Schizosaccharomyces pombe: one gene and its partner. The gene in region 2 interacts genetically with the main gene of each other region. Each region holds a gene or a part of one and is shown on either strand. Other genes may lie near its edges.

Evidence for each region.
Region 1: mutations in dsk1 (region 2) and pfd5 together harm fitness more than expected from each alone (negative genetic interaction), as found in Schizosaccharomyces pombe (2 studies listed by BioGRID).

Annotation. Positions count from the first base shown.
Region 1 is NC_003423.3:4,025,844-4,029,711, reverse strand, and holds pfd5 (prefoldin subunit 5), read right to left. Parts: upstream 2,307-3,868; 5' UTR 2,295-2,306; coding exon 2,108-2,294; exon of another isoform or gene 2,054-2,107; coding exon 1,944-2,053; exon of another isoform or gene 1,901-1,943; coding exon 1,795-1,900; exon of another isoform or gene 1,730-1,794; coding exon 1,668-1,729; 3' UTR 1,596-1,667; coding exon of another isoform or gene 1,407-1,595; 3' UTR 1,366-1,406; coding exon of another isoform or gene 622-1,365; 3' UTR 569-621; downstream 1-568. Other genes in the region: COP9/signalosome complex subunit Csn1, read left to right, coding at 153-213, 273-547, 622-1,365, 1,407-1,595; SPOM_SPBC215.01 (GTPase-activating protein), read right to left, coding at 2,636-3,868. UniProt on the Schizosaccharomyces pombe protein: Binds specifically to cytosolic chaperonin (c-CPN) and transfers target proteins to it. Binds to nascent polypeptide chain and promotes folding in an environment in which there are many competing pathways for nonnative proteins.
Region 2 is NC_003423.3:824,286-829,522, forward strand, and holds dsk1 (SR protein-specific kinase Dsk1), read right to left. Parts: upstream 3,648-5,237; 5' UTR 3,529-3,647; coding exon 1,894-3,528; 3' UTR 1,463-1,893; coding exon of another isoform or gene 960-1,462; 3' UTR 904-959; coding exon of another isoform or gene 780-903; 3' UTR 715-779; coding exon of another isoform or gene 589-714; 3' UTR 520-588; downstream 1-519. Other genes in the region: lsc1 (Lsk1 associated cyclin), read left to right, coding at 89-249, 294-375, 589-714, 780-903, 960-1,462; SPOM_SPBC530.15C (spermidine family transporter), read right to left, coding at 4,806-5,237. UniProt on the Schizosaccharomyces pombe protein: May play an important role in mitotic control by altering cellular location, degree of phosphorylation and kinase activity. Abundant expression accelerates the exit when cells are in M-phase and also delays the entry into mitosis when cells are in G2.

The DNA of each region.
Region 1 (3,868 bases), 3.2 Mb from region 2:
GTAAAGTAGAACTAATTAACTACATACATCTTCGACTTGAAAAAATCACCATCTTATTATAGCTTTTATACATCTGGTACTCGTCACTGGCCTATAACCAGTTGGCCAATTCTATAACCTACAGTGTTCCGACTAGTTACGAGTTTTCTATTATGAGCTTAAATCTACTAGTCAATCAGGAAGAATTAAAGAGATATCTGGATGAATATGGTGGTAAGAGTTTTTCAATTGATGCATTTTTGCAAGTCATTCTTTTATTCACAGTTTCATAGTATGGTCCAAAATATTTCGCGCGCTGTTTGTCGCCCGTAATTCTAAGCCGTTAAGAAGTTTTTGTGTTCATTATGCCATTAAAGAATTGAAAGAAAAGACATATAATCTAGAGTTGTACCAGTCTCTATTCGAGGAGTTTCAAGATTGCTTCGAAAACGAGCAGCTGGACGTAGAATGGGTTGAAAGCGTTACTTTTCATAGGAAACAAAATCTAGAACAATTAAGAAGGGAACTAAAAGCCTATAAAAACAACTTAATACGAGAATCTATAAGAGTATGAGCTACAAGATAACTTTTTGCTTCACAGACTTTTTATTACATCCTTTGTTACAATTCTAACAACTTTAGGCGGCACAACTAGATTTAGCTTCTTTTTTTGCTGATGTGGGCCAGTTTGATAGTGCTTTAAGATCATATGCCAAAGTTCGCGAATATTGTACAAATGCTGGACAAATTGCTCATTTATCCTTAGAGTTAATGAGAATTTCTATTTGGATTGGTAATTATTCTCATGTACTAGCCTTCGGGTCTCGCGCCAAGTCTACTGTTAGTGCAGCCATGGAGCTAACTAGTCCTATTTATGCATACTGTGGATTGGCCAACTTTTGCTTGGGTGATTACGAAGAGGCCCTGGCTCATTTTTTAAAAGTTGAAACTGATACCTCTGATGGTATTATTACAAAAACTGACATTTCAGTGTATATCTCACTTTGTGCACTAGCGTGCTGGGATCATAAACGTCTGATTCAAGAGCTTGAAAGAAATGAAGAGTTCAATGCTTTGTCAGATTTAGACCCTTCCCTGAGACGTTGTTTGCAAGCGAAATGTAATCGCAAATATAGTCTTTTGCTTGATACATTACAGCAAAATGCTCAAGACTATTCTTTAGACATGTATCTGGCTCCTCAATTGACAAATTTATTTTCCCTTATTCGGGAGCGTTCACTTCTTGACTATTTAATTCCTTACAGTGCTTTGCCGTTCAGCAAAATTGCAGTTGATTTTCATATTGATGAGAACTTCATTGAGAAAAATTTATTAGAAATAATCGAAGCCAAAAAATTAAATGGCAAGGTGGACTCTCTTCAAAAGGTAAGTATAATAAATCTGCTATATTGGTCTAACTTTATAAGCGTGTTTATATCGAACCTTCTTCAGAGCCTGAAAACTTCGAGGACATAAAAAATATCGCGCAAACTAGTTTGCTTTACAGCAAGGCTCTTTACTTACAAACATTGGCGGCGATGAACACTGAAAATACTGACGACGAAGCTCCAGTTATCGCTCAAACGAACATTACCGCGGAAGATTCACAGAACTAACAAAAAGCATGCACATCATATAATTGGTTAATCCTTTACTTACTTTTTTTGAAATTTCATTAATTATTTAGCTTATGAAGATTTAGTTGCAGCTGTTGTAGCTGTTGCCTTTTGTTGCATAATGTTTTGAACGGCTACAGAGAATTAGCAAATTGTTGATAATAAGATAAAAATTGATCTGTACTGTAAATGCTCATACCTCTAATTTGAACTGATTTTGCGTCAATGGCATTGTTGAGGTTCTCGATACTGCTGGCGAGATATTCACATTTTCTTTTATAATATTCGGTAGCTTCTCCAGCGGACTAATGTCGTTAGGTTTAAAAATCTCTTATATATTAAAAATACCTTTTCAACGTAATAACCAGTCCCAATATCGACCAACAATTTACTGTTTCCTAAATTCAGCTTTCCAGGAACATACAAGCTTGAAGTCAAAGGTACCAAAACCTCCTTTCCTATTGACAATAGTTAGTGAAACATATGCAAAAAAAATTTCAGTTTGTCTATACCATCGTTCTCAGCCCGCACAGCATCGTTAACGTTTGCCAGGCATTCACGAAATTTCAATTGAGCACGTCCTAGTTGTCCATAGGAGGTCGATAGATACTCTAGCTCAGAATCTAACTGTTTTATAACTTCTGATAATTGCTCCAAGCTGAGAGAAGTCAAATCGACCGCTTTATTACCTTCAGCCATTATTACGCTTCTATTAGAACAGTCAAGATACGAAGGAACTGGTAGAAATTCCAACGCTGCACTGCATTAAATTACAGGTACATGGTAATCCATTTCAATATACAATCAGTTAGTTGGTTGAAACAATATTTGTTTTAAACAGTTATTCAGAATTATACCAAACAGTGAAAGTAGAATCGAATATGTTATTGAGCAGAGGGACGCTATAGAATATATCAATATAGATGATAGATTTTTCAATAATTAATAAATTATGAGCATGAAGATTAACAAAATTTGGGAAAATAATACTAGTTAGGATGCATTATAGTGCCATTGATTAGAAGTTTAAGTATAGCTTTTTAAGCATCATTTTTTTTGTATGGATCAAATTGAAGCAAATCTTTATCGTTTTCTACAACATCACCAACATCATCTTCGGTATCTGAAGAATTTGAAGGTGTTTTTTCAGTCGCCGTAGTTTCCGATGTGGTAATTTCAGAAGTAGTATTTTGATTGCTAGTACCATTTGCGGTACTTGGACGAGAAGCGGGTTTATGCCCACGAAATGTTTTACCAATCCTATTGGTATCAATTACCAAAGAATCCAATAAACCTCTCAAACCTCCGGTGGTTGATGATTTTTCTTGGACTGGAGCTAAAACGATAGAGTCGGCGAGTCCTCCAGAAAATAATTGCTCTAATAAACCAATTGATAAAACAACCATTCTAAAAGTGGGAAGACTAACTTTGATATCACTATTAGCACCAACAGAACGGTTTTCAGAACCAGTACTGCTCATATGGTCGCTTATATCAATCAACGTATCAGAATGACCATCAGGACTAGCTTCATCAGCAAAATGAAAGCAGCGTTGTATGAATTCGCTAACTGCGGATAGATACTCATCACCCATAAACCTAGTTAACCAAAGAATAGCTTCTGAAACCTTCAAAACGTCTGGTTTATCCATAAAACCATCTCCATTAAAGTCATAAAGCTCGAATATAAAAGATATATTGCGCATTACATCCCTAAATTTCAATTCTGCAATACCGGACACCAAATCCTGTAAAGATAATGATCCAGTCATGCTTTTGTCAAATCGTAAAAACAAATGACGAAGAAAGGATGATGAATTATTGATAGCCGCTGCATCCAAACCTTTCGCCCATTCAGTAACTCCTGCTAAAAATATACAAAATTCGTCAAATTCCAACCGTGTATCAGTAGAGCTGCCTAATCCAACTCGATGTTTGGACGACAATACTTCATGATAACGGTCGTAAATATTACTTAAATCCGTACGTGTTAATGTACCGTAATTTTGTAAACTCCTAATTTGTGTTCTCTTTGCAAATGACTCAATAGAATTCATAACTCCTTCGTAATGTTTTTTCCTTTCATCTTCAATTAAAGAGTGTGTTATATGGCTAAACTTCTTGAAAGCAGTTACCAATAAAAGTTGAAACTTCGTGATAGAGGCAACGCGTTTATCTGTTGCATCTTTATAAGCCTTATCTCCCAATGATGAAAAATAATTTTTTAAAATTGATATCAACATAGTGTCTTCTGTAGCCTTCATAATTTCAGC
Region 2 (5,237 bases):
CTTAAAAGGAATCGCTTAACTTCAGCATACTTGCACCTTGCAGGTAAAGCCAGGCCTTCACAAACCCAGCACCATTTTAGCTGCTAAAATGGCAGAAAATGAGAATCATGTACTTTCAATACGAATGTCACACCCATACTATTCAGAAAAAGAAATAAGTCGAATTTTGTCGACGCGAGATCCCAAAGAAAATAATTTGCGAATGCAGGCGTTCGCTTGGATATCAACACTTTCAAAAACTTTAAAATTGTATGCTTTTCCTCAAAATTATCTAGAATCTAACTTTTTTTTAGCCCTGTAAGGACCAGCGGCCTTGCAATGCTTTTATACAGTCGTTTCCAACTATTTTTTCCCGTGAATGAAATTCCTTTGCTGGTATGTTATTTGGATGTCTTTCGCACATGAGTATGCTGTGCTATTTGAAATTTTACGTATTCTGATATAAGAATATTCTGAATGCTGTACATTGGTCATACTATTAAAAAAGACTACAGTTTTTAATAATGTTAGCTCAGCTACTCCAAGTTATAAACATCATATTCTCTTGATTTAGGCTCTTTTTCTTTCAAAAATAACTAACACATTTAGGAGTGCGCTACTGCTTGCTTAGTAGTTGCTAGTAAAATCGAAGATACGGCCAAAAAGTTTCGTGATATTCTTTTAGCACATTATCTTCAAAAGCATCCAGGTTCTGAGGTCGATGCTCATTCACAAGTATGTTACAAGGTGCGCAATAATTGTTTTTTGTTTATAAGGAGACTTGCTTACAGGTGTATTAGCTAATCGAAGAGAACAAGAAGAGGATTCTAGGTTTAGAAAGAATGACACTGGAATTGATTTGTTTCGATTTTCGAGTCCGACATCCACACAATTACATGGTAAAATTTGCAAAATCACTGAAATGTATGACTGCTATTCATTTTACCTTATAATTTTCGAGTTAACTAATTTACTTTCAGTTTCATCTTCCACGGCAAGTATAGCTTGGAATGTCTGCACTGATGCTTATAAAACATACACAATGTTAAAATATCCAGCCCATATTGTTGCCGTCGCATCGATTTCTATTGCTTGCAAGTTACAGCAACTTCCTCAACCTATAATTCCCAGATCGTTCTTCGCTCCACCAGCACTAACGGAAGCAGTGATTGCGGATATACTCGATCTATATATGCATTATCAGCCTCACACTTGCATTGGTAATATGTATACAACGGAAAAATTACTTGGATTATGTGTTGACTTCCAACGAGCCCAAAAAAACTCTGGCCGTCCTCAAAAACCACCCCAAATTGACCCTCATTCTTCTTCTTTAGCAGATGAATACCGTGAGTCAAATAAGAGACTTCAAGAATCCAAAGAAAGTTGTGCCAGATTTATTTTAGACTGCGATAGAAAGTATTTTAATACCGAATTTGAAAAACGAATGCTGGAAGAAAGGAGAAATAAAGGTACGGTTTAATCTAATGGTTCCTTAATGAGTTATCTTACCATCGGTTTGTTCCTTCTTTCGACAGCATTCTGAACAGTATATTAATATGTGACATTACAAGTTACCAATTTCCAATTAACTTCCTTTTGAATGACAAAACTTTATTTTATGCGTTTTCTAAACATAATATGATTTAAAAAGCAGCTGACCTAAACCCTGCTATATCTTAAATATTCATTAAGTAAAAGGAAATTTCGTTCAAATTTCAGTGCAGTAAATGTTGATCAAAAGAAGGAATCGTGATAATCATACGTAACCCATTTCAGAGTGAAAGGTGTCATGCTTTTTTAAAGCAATCACGCTAATGGTGGGAAATTAAAAAAGGGACGATATCGCAAAAAAAAACTATATATAAAAAAAAATCATTTACTAGCGCTTCAAAACCAATATCAAGGTAAACACTAACGAATTTCAGTAGCCCATCCGGGTACATCTTCACCGGTTGCTCCAGTAGTCTCGATTTTGAACGTAGGATCAGCCACTTCGCGCAACCATGGAGAATTGCTCATGTAACCAGCATTGGTTCGCTTGGCAGGATCAAAACATAACATAGGAGATAAAAAGTCTGATATTTGTTGAGCCAACTCGGCTGAAAAATGGTATTTTTGCTCCAAAACATCTTTTAAAGGCCAAAACTTCAATTTATGAATATTTCGGAGTTCACCGCGACGGTTAAATAAATCGCGGGAGTGCTTTCCTGAAAGTGCCATTTGCTTAGGATAATTAACCAATAACTCAATAATTTGGGCAATGTGGTCATCCTCCTTAGAATAAGAATTCCCATTCCGTGGATCGAAAAGGTAATCGCCGGTTAGCAATTCAAAAATGATACAGGCAAAACTCCAGCAATCAGCGGAAGCTCCCCAGCGACATCCTAGAATTACTTCTGGAGACCTATACTGACGGGTTTGCACATCGTTGGTGAAATGCTTCCGTGTCCAGCACGCGTTACCGAGATCGGCAATTTTAACAGTGATTTTTGGAACGGGTTCCTGAGAACCGTTAACACCATCAAGTATAAGAGAATTATCTCCACTAGAAAACGGAGAATTAGGATGAGAATTATGCTTTTGAGAGTCACGAAGGCTGATTTCTGAAACAGCACCTTCTAATGAAGGAAAGCGGCTCAAAGTGGAAGTAAAAGGACTGCTAGGAATGACCTGGCCAGCAGGCTTAGAATTCTTAGTTGGATTTTTTGCAAATGTCTTGCGTTCTTGGGCAGAGTTATCTACAGATTGGCCACGTTTAATAATTGGAGCTTTGGCTGTATAACCAGTGTTATTTCTTGTTTTTGAAGAAGAGGTATTAGAAGTGGGGGAGGAAGTTGTTGCAGGTGCCTCAATATGTTGCAAGGCATCCTGATCAATGCATATTAAAACATTTTCGGGTTTAAGATCAGTATGAATGATCCCGCATTCTCGATGCAAGTAATCCAGAGCGATGAGTAATTGGTAGGCAATTTGCTTTACAATACCCACAGGTACTCCTCGATGGCCGTATGACTGTATCAAACTTAAAAGATTCTCACCGAGAACTTCGAATACCATACAGACATGAGCTCCATTAGGACCACGATGCACAAAATAATCGAGCAAAGAAATGATATGCTTTTTGCCCAAATGCTTTTCGTCCCCTTCTCTAATTTTCTGCAAAATGCGAATTTCATCAATTGAGGTCTCTCGATAGTGCTCTGCTGAACGCACCACCTTCAAAGCTACTCTCCGTTTGGCAGCTCGATCATATGCAAGCCAAACCGTTGAAAAATGTCCCCAGCCTAATTTTCTTTCAACGACATATCGACGGTGATGAAATTCTTCACCAATGTAGACTGGGTGGTATCCACCATAGTGATAGTCCTCTGCATTTTCTTCGTGCGTTTTTACCTTTTCCACCATGCTTTTTCCGTCTACTTCAGCATTGACCTTTTTATTAACATTTTTTCCATTCGTGATCACCTTTTCACTGACATGGTCAACTATTTCAGTGTGTCCCGGTTGTGACACTTTCGGTGACAAACTCGACCCGTCACTTCCCATTTCAAAATGGCTGGCTGCCCCGTATGAAGAAACTACTGATATGTCCCTCCAGCTCTTAAATTAAAATATCTGAGATATGTGAATACACCAATTCCTTCGTTGTTGTTGTTGTTTGTTCTGGTTATAAATACGGTATGGAGTAGTATTTTTAGTGCGAAAATCAACACGGGGAAACACCGTGGAGTCTTAGCACACTACCGAGGAAACTTTGCGCATTAGGAAGAGCGTTTCGATATAGTAAATAACAAAAAATGGGAAAATGGTTTACTAATTATTTTACGCCAGTAGGAGAAGCCACCTTTACACTCCGTTACTGTACCATAAATATTTTAATAATACTACTTAAAAATCCGTATATATGAATACCAATGACTAAGGCATCACTAAAAATATCAGCAGTTGATAGAATATGAACCCCCTGCGCTTTCATCCCATCGCTATCCCTTACTAACTACTTTTACCGAAGTAGCCCAGCCGTTAGAATTCCATAAGATGTGTTAAGGTCTTCCAAATTTATATCGTTATCCATTATAACTGTATCCCATTCAGCTCTTAGATCTCGACAGGATAGCTAGAAAAAATGTAAACAATTCTTGAGTCGTTGAAAAGAGGGATATTTAAGATCTGTTTTCTCTCTCAACATACGGCGTTCTTAAAATGAAAATTCTCAGATAATGTTCTAGCTTTACGGCATTCACACCTACGGCCCGAGATCTACTACCTACTCACACTAACCGTGATTCTACGGGCAAGACCTGGACTCGAAAACATTCAATTACATTGATAAAAACGGGATATAATAAATTGACAAGTATGGCCTGTGCTAACAGTTATTTTTGTTGAGGTCTTAGCAATGTATTATGGTAAACGGAAATCATATGTAAGGTTCATAACCAACCAATAAATATAAATGTCTATTTGAAAGGTACTTTTTTTGTGATGATCAGAAACATAAAGGAAACGGAGATCAACAAAAGTAATCATTGAGGATGATGAATTATTAAAGAAGTCACAAAAAGACAAAAGAAAGAGGCAGCGGGTAATAGAGATCATTTAAAACAAAGTCCATCGTTTCTAAATATCTAAACGGCAGCAAACTGGTTAAATTAACGAAAATAACAATAACAACAAGTAAATGCTGAGGCCATTAACCCAAGGCAACAAACCGCGGGCATGGTTTCTGAATAAAAAAGATGAATATAACAGAAATAAGAAAAACAAAAACTGGAAAAGAGAGGGTCAAGCAAATCAACTAAAAAGCGGACTTCTATGACGAATTAATCCTTTAGACAGTGCTTGCTCATTTGTCGTAATTTCGGCCCATATAAAAACAACATAAAAGGAACTGGAATAAGCCCAACTGCAACAAATCCGACCAGAGAACCAGCCCAACCAATTCCCAAATTATTGAACATTTGGGTTGTAAAAAGAGGAAATGCCGCGCCAAACGAACTTCTAAGTAATGTATTGGCCGCGATTGCAGAAGCAGAACATCCACTATAACAATCAATGATATAATTGATTGTTTGTTGAAAAATTGTAATGATTCCAAAGCCAATAAAACTACCTGCCAAAGTTGGAACAATCCAATGAATCCATGGATAATTACCAGTCCAAGCAAGCCAAAAGATGCCAATGGGAAAGACAATGCAACCGATCATCATGGAGGGAAGTCGTGCTTCAGGAACAGGTCTTCCTTTATTTTCATC